2 linked regions of the Schizosaccharomyces pombe genome follow. The protein of the gene in region 2 interacts with the protein of the main gene of each other region in a pairwise test. Each region holds a gene or a part of one and is shown on either strand. Other genes may lie near its edges. The genes, in order: asn1 and hgh1.

What was found.
Region 1: the proteins of hgh1 (region 2) and asn1 interact in a two-hybrid assay, tested with the Schizosaccharomyces pombe proteins (one large-scale study listed by BioGRID).

Annotation. Positions count from the first base shown.
Region 1 is NC_003423.3:733,110-737,996, reverse strand, and holds asn1 (asparagine synthetase), read right to left. Parts: upstream 2,971-4,887; 5' UTR 2,709-2,970; intron 2,601-2,708; exon of another isoform or gene 2,595-2,600; 5' UTR 2,582-2,594; coding exon 908-2,581; 3' UTR 702-907; downstream 1-701. Other genes in the region: double-strand-specific ribonuclease Pac1, read left to right, coding at 1-293; orm1 (ORMDL family protein), read left to right, coding at 3,762-4,322.
Region 2 is NC_003424.3:5,152,192-5,155,918, reverse strand, and holds hgh1 (protein hgh1), read right to left. Parts: upstream 2,056-3,727; 5' UTR 1,988-2,055; coding exon 1,970-1,987; intron 1,930-1,969; coding exon 977-1,929; intron 926-976; coding exon 826-925; 3' UTR 691-825; downstream 1-690. Other genes in the region: leucine--tRNA (Leu) ligase Lrs1, read right to left, coding at 3,640-3,727.

The sequences.
Region 1 (4,887 bases), on a different chromosome or scaffold from region 2:
TTCAATGGGTTAGCCGACTTCTCCAACCAAAGATTGCCAATATCACTGTTCAACGTCCTATCGATAAGCTGGCTAAATCAAAACTTTTTCACAAGTACAGCACTTTGGGCCACATCGAATATCGCTGGGTCGATGGTGCTGGTGGTTCCGCTGAGGGTTATGTTATTGCCTGCATATTTAATGGCAAAGAAGTAGCCCGTGCGTGGGGTGCAAATCAAAAAGACGCGGGCTCTAGGGCAGCTATGCAAGCACTCGAAGTCCTTGCAAAAGATTACTCTAAGTTTGCCCGTTAATCCCACATTTTTTATTTTTCTAAAAATTTAAATCCCATTTTATACGATGAATTAATTCGTCACGGTTTCGATCGTTAAAAGGTCTTACTGTCACAGTCAATCTATCTTTTGTTTGGTCCTTATGAAGAATTATTTAAAGTCTTTTTAGCATTTTATATTCTCTTTTAGTTCAAAAAAAATATAAAGTTTTTGTTCCTCTGATTATTCCGTATTTCTTTAGATATTTAAGTTAGATAAAACTGGAAACAGCCATCCAGCTATTTGTTTCAAAAAAGGAATGTTCACTACTTTACATGATATAATCATGCTGCTTTTAAACACTGTAGAAACTATAAACTGCGGTTTAAGAGGTGTTTCAAGCTTATACAACACTCAGAATACGAACTATTATATGCAGATTTCAAAAGATTAATATATGCGAAAAGAAGTGTTCAGATTCGATTTGGTATAGTTAAATATTAAATAACGAAAATCTAAATAAAAGGAATCAGACAAAGGAGAAAAGGGTGAAAACGAGTTTTTTTTACAATACAAAAAAAAGGAAAGTATAACATCCCTACATTAACGAACATAAACGAACGTCGGATAACGCCTACTGGGCTAAATTACACAGCTTATTTTAAAGCAGCAACGTGACCAGCCTGGTAACGACCAGATGGATCTTCGGGGCAACCCCATTCAGCCTTGGGAACCCAACGCATAACAGTGTCAGCACACTGTCTAGGGAAGATTTCGTCGAAAAGCTTGCGGTACCAGAATGCCTCTTTGGTGGTAGGAATATCGTCACCCCATTCCCTCCTTGGAAGAGCAAATTCATCATCTGAAATACATAACTCAGCAGTGTCCTTCAAAGCGTCAATCCATGAATAACCAACGCCATCAGAGAACTGTTCCTTCTGTCTCCAAAGAATATCTTGAGGGAGATATGGTTGTAATGAAGAATCATGAGTTGTGTCAAAAGCCTTGCGAAGAATATATTTTTCTTTACGACCGTTAATATACATTTTCTCCTCAGGATCAATGTTAAGAGCAACTTCCAAAAAGTCCTTATCCAAGAAAGGAACACGAGCCTCAAGACCCCAAGCCATAGTTGACTTGTTAGCACGCAAGCAATCGGATAAGTGCAAGTTCTTAACACGACGCACACACTCGGAATGGAAGGCCTCACGAGAGGGGGCATTACCGAAATATAAATAACCACCAAAGATTTCGTCAGATCCCTCACCAGACAAAACCATTTTAACACCTTGAGCCTTGATTTTACGAGATAGTAGATACATGGGGGTACTTGCACGGATAGTGGTAACATCATATGTCTCAAGATGGTAAATAACGTCACGAAGAGCATCAAGACCTTCATCGATAGTGAAGGTGTGCTCATGATGGAAAGTATGCAAAAAGTCGGCAACCTTACGAGCCGCAAGCAAGTCAGGAGAGCCAGGTAAACCAATTGCAAAAGAATGAAGCTTAGGCCAAGCGGTAATGGTACGAGCCTCTTCGGACTGCGAAGTGCTGTTAGCGAGCTTCTCAGTTTCACGAGCGGCAATAGAAGCAATCAAACTGGAATCCAAACCACCAGATAGAAGAACACCATAAGGAACTTCAGCCATTAAACGCTTGCGAACGGAAGCCTCCAAAGTCTCGCGCAGAAGCTTGTAGTCAACGGGGTTGGAAGGAATTTTATTTTCGTCCCACCAGCTAGGCTTGAAATAGCGGACAGTTTGCTTGGTTTCGGAGTCGTAATAATGTCCGGGAGGGAAAGCAATGATTTTGTCGCAAACAGGATGCAATGCCTTCAATTCAGAAGCAAAATAGGCAGTATCAGGACTGTCAGATGAGAAGCCCTGATATAAAGTTGTAATACCAATGGGATCACGAGCAGCAACAACCTTATCCTTGTCTTGATCATATAAAACCCAAGAAAACATACCGTCCAACATGTTAGCGCAAGCAGGACCATGTTCGCGGTAGAGATATAAAATGACTTCACAATCGGAGTAAGTCTTGAATTTATAGTTACCCTTTAAGTTTTCGCGAAGCTTAAGATGGTTATAGATTTCACCGTTGACAGTAAGGACAAGTTTACCATCGTCAGATACAAGAGGTTGAGCACCACTTTCAACACCGACAATAGCAAGACGCTCATGGCAAAGAATAGTTTGGTTGCGAATAGCCTTACCAGACCAGTCAGGACCACGGTGACGAAGTTGTTTCGACAAATGAAGAGCCTTGGGCTTGAAAGCCTCAATATCTTCGGCGACGTGATGAACAGCAAGAATACCACACATAGTTAATGTTTCAAAAAAATTGACAAATAGATCTAAAATTTATGGTTACTAAACAAAGAATAGAAGGAGAGGGAAAAAATGGAAGATAATAAAAAATTTTTATCAACGCAGCTGGAATGATAGTTACCTTTTAAGATATGTAAAAGATAAATATTATCTTTATAAAAGAAATGTAATAGTCAAAAAGTAGCACTGAGCCAACAATCAGTTCAGAATTAGGTGTTAGATGTTTTAGAATGTAAACTCCAAAACGGAAGCTATTTAGCTCGTTCAAAAACTATAGGATATAATTTTTTGCGTTCTTTTTAATAAACGATGTTTTACGATCGTTTCCTGCCCAATTCTAGGAGATACCGTCAAAATCTCCCTGCCGATGTTGGAAAAAGTTAAGTGAAATGTAGAGATTCCGGGAACTTTTATAGGTTATTGCTAGCAGTGATTAGCGCGGTGATTACTACGATAGTTTGCCGCCGAAAGATCGATTACGATAAGATAATACAAAACGGTATTCAATTTATGATTTACAAGATAACTATGTGCGATAAGATTAGATAGCAGTGGATATAAACATTCAGTATAAAGTTATAAGGTATCAACAAAGTATCGTTTCGGAATCGTATCACTACGCCACAGTCGGCTAACTCACTACACTAAATGAGCAAACTATTTCTATTAGAATCCATCAGTGATGCTATTCCTCCTGCTACTACACATATCCATAAAACGCAAACATTAACAAAAAACCCTATCAAGAAACGGTGTTTGAAGTCTTTATATATTTAAAGGAATTACTGGTCTTTATAATATTTGGAAATTTTTTTTCTCAAAAAAAATAGCCGAAGTTTCGTCTTTTCTTTGTTTCTTTTTCTTTTATAACATAATTGGAAGCTGGCTTTGATAGTTTCACAAGCTTAAGCTACTTCTCTTCTCTTGTTTGACCAAGTATATTATTTGTTCTTTGTGATATCGTCTTCTTCTAGATACGAAGTAGTCGGTGGTTAATTGTTTTACAGATTGAATTGCAGATTGGTCAGGCGAGTTGAATCGATTCTTTTAACTTTGTGTGGATTTTAAAGCTTTTCCGTCAAAGTTGTTTATTTCTTTATAACTTGTTTATTTCTTTACTCACATCCGTTTTTCCCTCTTCCTTCTCGTTCTGTTTCTTCATCTTCATATAAAAATGGGCAGCAGTAGTAGCAGAAGAAGGTCTTCCTCCCTGGTCACTAAGGTACCTAAACCCACGATTGATGATCGTTTAGACCAAGGCTCAGCCACGAATTATAACTCTAATTGGGTGAACTATAAGGGCGCATGGGTTATCCACATTGTCTTGATTGCAGCTCTTCGTCTTATTTTCCATGCTATTCCTTCAGTGTCACGCGAATTAGCATGGACCCTCACTAATCTTACATATATGGCTGGTTCATTCATCATGTTTCATTGGGTTACTGGAACTCCATTCGAGTTCAACGGTGGTGCCTATGATCGCCTTACCATGTGGGAGCAATTAGATGAAGGAAATCAATACACACCAGCCCGTAAATATCTTTTAGTTCTACCCATTATACTATTCCTAATGAGTACTCATTACACCCACTATAACGGTTGGATGTTCTTGGTCAACATTTGGGCCCTGTTTATGGTTTTAATCCCTAAACTGCCTGCCGTTCACCGGAAGAGAATTTTTGGTATTCAAAAACTTTCCCTCCGTGATGATGATAATGACAGTATTCCTCGTTAGGATCACTGTGCCATATTGAATTCATCACCTTATAATCATGGTGTCTATCTTTGTCTTTGAGCAGGCTGTTTTATTCCGCTTGAAACTCCTTCACTCTCAAAAATATAAACAGTCTATTGCAGCTTTGTTACTAATTTTGTCAAAGATGAAACTAATCATTTATTTCCCGGTACTTTAGAAACCCAACCATTAATGACTTTTTGTTCACTTATTTGTGACGTCGTTTTTCCCTTTTATTTTTCCCGTTAGCCTTTACTGGAATCAAGGTCGCCCGCCTTCTGCTTTATTTCATTGCTAGTAATGGATGCCATAGCGGCAATTGCCAAAATTTTCTCCTAAAAAAAACTGTTCCTTTTATATAGGATTTGCGCATCATGATTTGCTTTCCCAAAAAACAACGGAATCTGTACGACCTTTTTTGCAGGTATTTGTAAAGGCTTTCCCTTTCTATTGTAAAACTTCATTCGCGTCTCGAATATCATCTTACATATTTTTTCTGATTTATAAAAATATGCACATAATTTCATATTCGACCGCTTTGCATTTCATTATAAGACGCTTCTAC
Region 2 (3,727 bases):
TGAGATTTTTCTTTAATCCCTTAACCTAAATAAGGCGAAAAGACCCTACCCATTTACTAGTGCATGGAAATAACGTATTCTAATGGAAACGTGTAATAAAAAATTATTTTTGCATCGGAATGCAGTTTGTAAACAAACATTGGAAGAAGAATATATTAACCTAGTAAAATTGTGAATTCATTTTTATTTATTTTATTTTTTACAAATTTTTTTTATTTTTTATTTCATTCTGGATTTCATTGACCTTGTGATTTAATTTCTTTAGTTTTATTTAATTTAATTATTATAACTTTTTTTTTTTTTTTTTTTTGGATTTTTTTTGCTTCTTTCTTCTTTCATTAATTTATCCATTCATTATTTGTATTTAATTTCATTTTTACGGTTGCTTCCTTTTACATTTGCTTACATTTATTTTTACCTCTTTTTTTTATTCCATTGATACTTTCCTACTTGCTATTTCCTTTTCTTTGGTGTGCTCTGCTGTCTGCATAACCCATTTATTTACACTTTCTATTCTCTGTCAATACACTGTTTACTAATTTATACTCTAATCCTACCCATTGCAATAATTTAATTTTGCTCTTCTACATTTCGCAATACAATACTATAAACTCGGGATTTTAAAGGACTCTTGCTCTTCATAACGCACCTTTCTCTCAATTATAAAGTCCAAATATTTTATTGTGTGATTTCCATTTCACTTTCTACTCTTTCTTTCTCCAACCATTCAATGGAAAACAAAATCAAACACCTATGTATTTATCCCCAAGATGAGCTTTAGGCTCCCAAAATTATCTTTTTTAAAAAATATGTATTTTTCCCTTTTTAATCCACCTCAACGATAACATCATCCTCATCTGGTGGGTTATCTTGGATGTGCTCAAGTTCTTCAGGTGCCTCGTCACGCACCAACATTTGTACAAGCCTATTTTGAATTAGTAATAAATCCCTTCCCATTTTGTAAAAAAAAACTTACTGATCACAAACTTCGCGAATCTCTTCATCATCCACGTTCAAGTGCAATTCACGTATAATAGGGTACACCTTACGGCGTCTCATATGTTCTCTTCCCTCCCGTGTAGCAGTAAGCAGTACCAATGTTTCAACTAAAGTTTTCATAATAAAGTGATCCGGCTCTCGTTTCTTATCATCTGGTAGTAGTTGTAATTCGTCAAACATACCATCCATATCCTCTTCACTGAGTTCTTCAGGACCTGCCAAAGGAAGTAAAAGATATGGCAAAACATTAATACCTTCTTCATCCATCAAAACTTTCTGAAATGGGATGTCAAAAGATATGTTTTTAATGATGGCTGCGACACCGGTGCGACGCAATAAAGATTTGTGCTCCGTAAAAACAACCAATTTCGATGCTGGAATTACATGATCATACTCTTGAAGAGTCGTAAAGTATTTTCTTCCCCTTTCAAAACGTGTCATATCAGCAAATACGTTGGCCAAAAAATCAAAATTGGCATACTCATTGATTCCATGATCGGTTCCTTTCACAAAAAGATCCATCAACTGATCAATAATATTTTTACTCAACGAAAACTCTCTTAAAGGAACTTGCATATCTAAAATACGGGCAAAGTCTTCTTCCTTGGCCAAGTTACACAACAACATACAGCTCAAATCAGCCAATCCATGCAATGGGTTTGTCACAATGCTAAAAATGAGCTGCAGAAATTCATCATCCATCAACACTTTACGAACTTTCTCATTTTGTGAGACATTCACTAAAGCCGTAACAGCTTGACTTGCAATCTGAGGCTTGTCCTTCAATAGAGCCTTAAGGTCTTTCACCGGCTCAAAGTCATTGTGGAACCAAATACTAAATTGAGGATGATTCCTAGCGGTGTACGGAAGCAAATGCTGAACAGCTAACATCCGTACCTGCGGATTTTGATCATGTAAAAATCCTACAAGCTAATTATGTTAACTCATGCGCAACAAAAGTTACACTTACTTCTATAAGTTCTGACATTTATAAAAATATTTACTGATCGCTAGCGATAGCCTTTTCTCTTGTAATATTAAGAATTGTAGAGGTTTAATGCGAAGTTGTAAAATTTGCAAACTTCAGTGGTGACATACAAATTCCAAGTTAGTACAACTAAAAATCATATTAGGCAAATTGTCTGCAGAAGCTAATTTTATTTAAGCAAAATGCATTTAATTAATCTGTAGACACACATTTTCTAATACTTTCATATCTCTACGTTCAAAACTGTTTGTCAACAGGTTAAGGAAAACAATTATCTGCCAGGTGATTCATCGTATACGTATACCGAAAACTTGGAGTTCAATAAATAAAAAAAGGGTTAAATTAAATAAGATACTTAAGCAGCCGACCTGGATTATATTCTATTCTTTTCTTCAAAAACCATAGCTTGATTATTACGGCCAAGGTTCAGTTGCGAAATTGTAAGAAACTGATGATAAAGGAGAAATTTCTGAAAAATTTTGTGGAAACTCAATTTCCACTTTGGATTAATCGTTGGGAAAATCAAGACTTAAAAATGTTTTCCAACGATTTACATCTGTTATAGAGTCTGTGCGAAATTAATGAATTTTAGATTTGACTATACAGAACGGGATTGCATCCATCAAAGGTGAGATGACTACTATGAAGGGTGATATAACTGCCATGAAAGGTTCTATATCTCATTTAGATAGAAAAATCTTTTGGATCAAAGAACTGAAGAAAGATTTAATAATATGGCTCAAACGATCCAAAAAATTGATGATCGTTCTTGCAAGTCGATGATGCTAACAAGAAAATATGAAAACATGGTCTGTGCAGATATGAATTGTTCGGCTGTTCCAGTACCATTCCTTAACGGAGATGAACCTAGAGACTATGAACTCCCACCCTTGCAAGCCTTGAAGACATTGATAATTTGATAAAGGAACAGTGTATTCAATATCTTCATGGGTATGGTATTACTAAATTTAGTCCTCTTGAGACTGTCAAGTTGAAAGAACGACTTCAAGATGCAATTGGCTTCTGGTTAAAAGGGTCAGTCGCACACAAATTTCGTACGTTTTAGGGAAGTATTTTATATCTTTCGCTATTTTGTTTTCTCTTAGTAGGAATATTGGTTTTTCCTTCTCCTTATTATGATCTTTATATATCACTTTCTTGCTATTATAATCATTAACAGATCGCCTCTGTTAAAGCTTAGTATAATTTGTATACGCATTTAAACCAAAGGGACTATAAAAATGTCACCGCGCTTGACGATTCCGTTACGAGAGTATTGAATGGCAGGATAGTGGTCTAATTCTGCATTCAACAAGAGATTCGAAATATTTCAAAATTTTGCTTTACTAGAATTCGATGAAAATAATCAGGAAGCGATTGATAATTTTCGTCAAGCGAAGGAACATAAAATGAAATTGGAAAACAAATGTAATAAAAAATACTGTAACAATACGTTTTCACATTAAATGAATGATAAGACCGAATATTGCAAGAGAAATATATAGTCTGGTTAACGCTCTAAAAATCTATTATTTAAAAAAAATTGCAAACTATATAGCAGATGAAAATGATATTATTTTACATATTGCACAACGCATTCCTCCTGCTTTAAAGGATTTCTGTAACTATTTTTATGGTGCTTACAAAATGTTTTAAGCAGAGACATTTTCAAACAAAAATGTAGGCTGACCGGGTACGGTATTTGCAAAATTAGGTGCAATCTCTACAGTAGCACCGGCA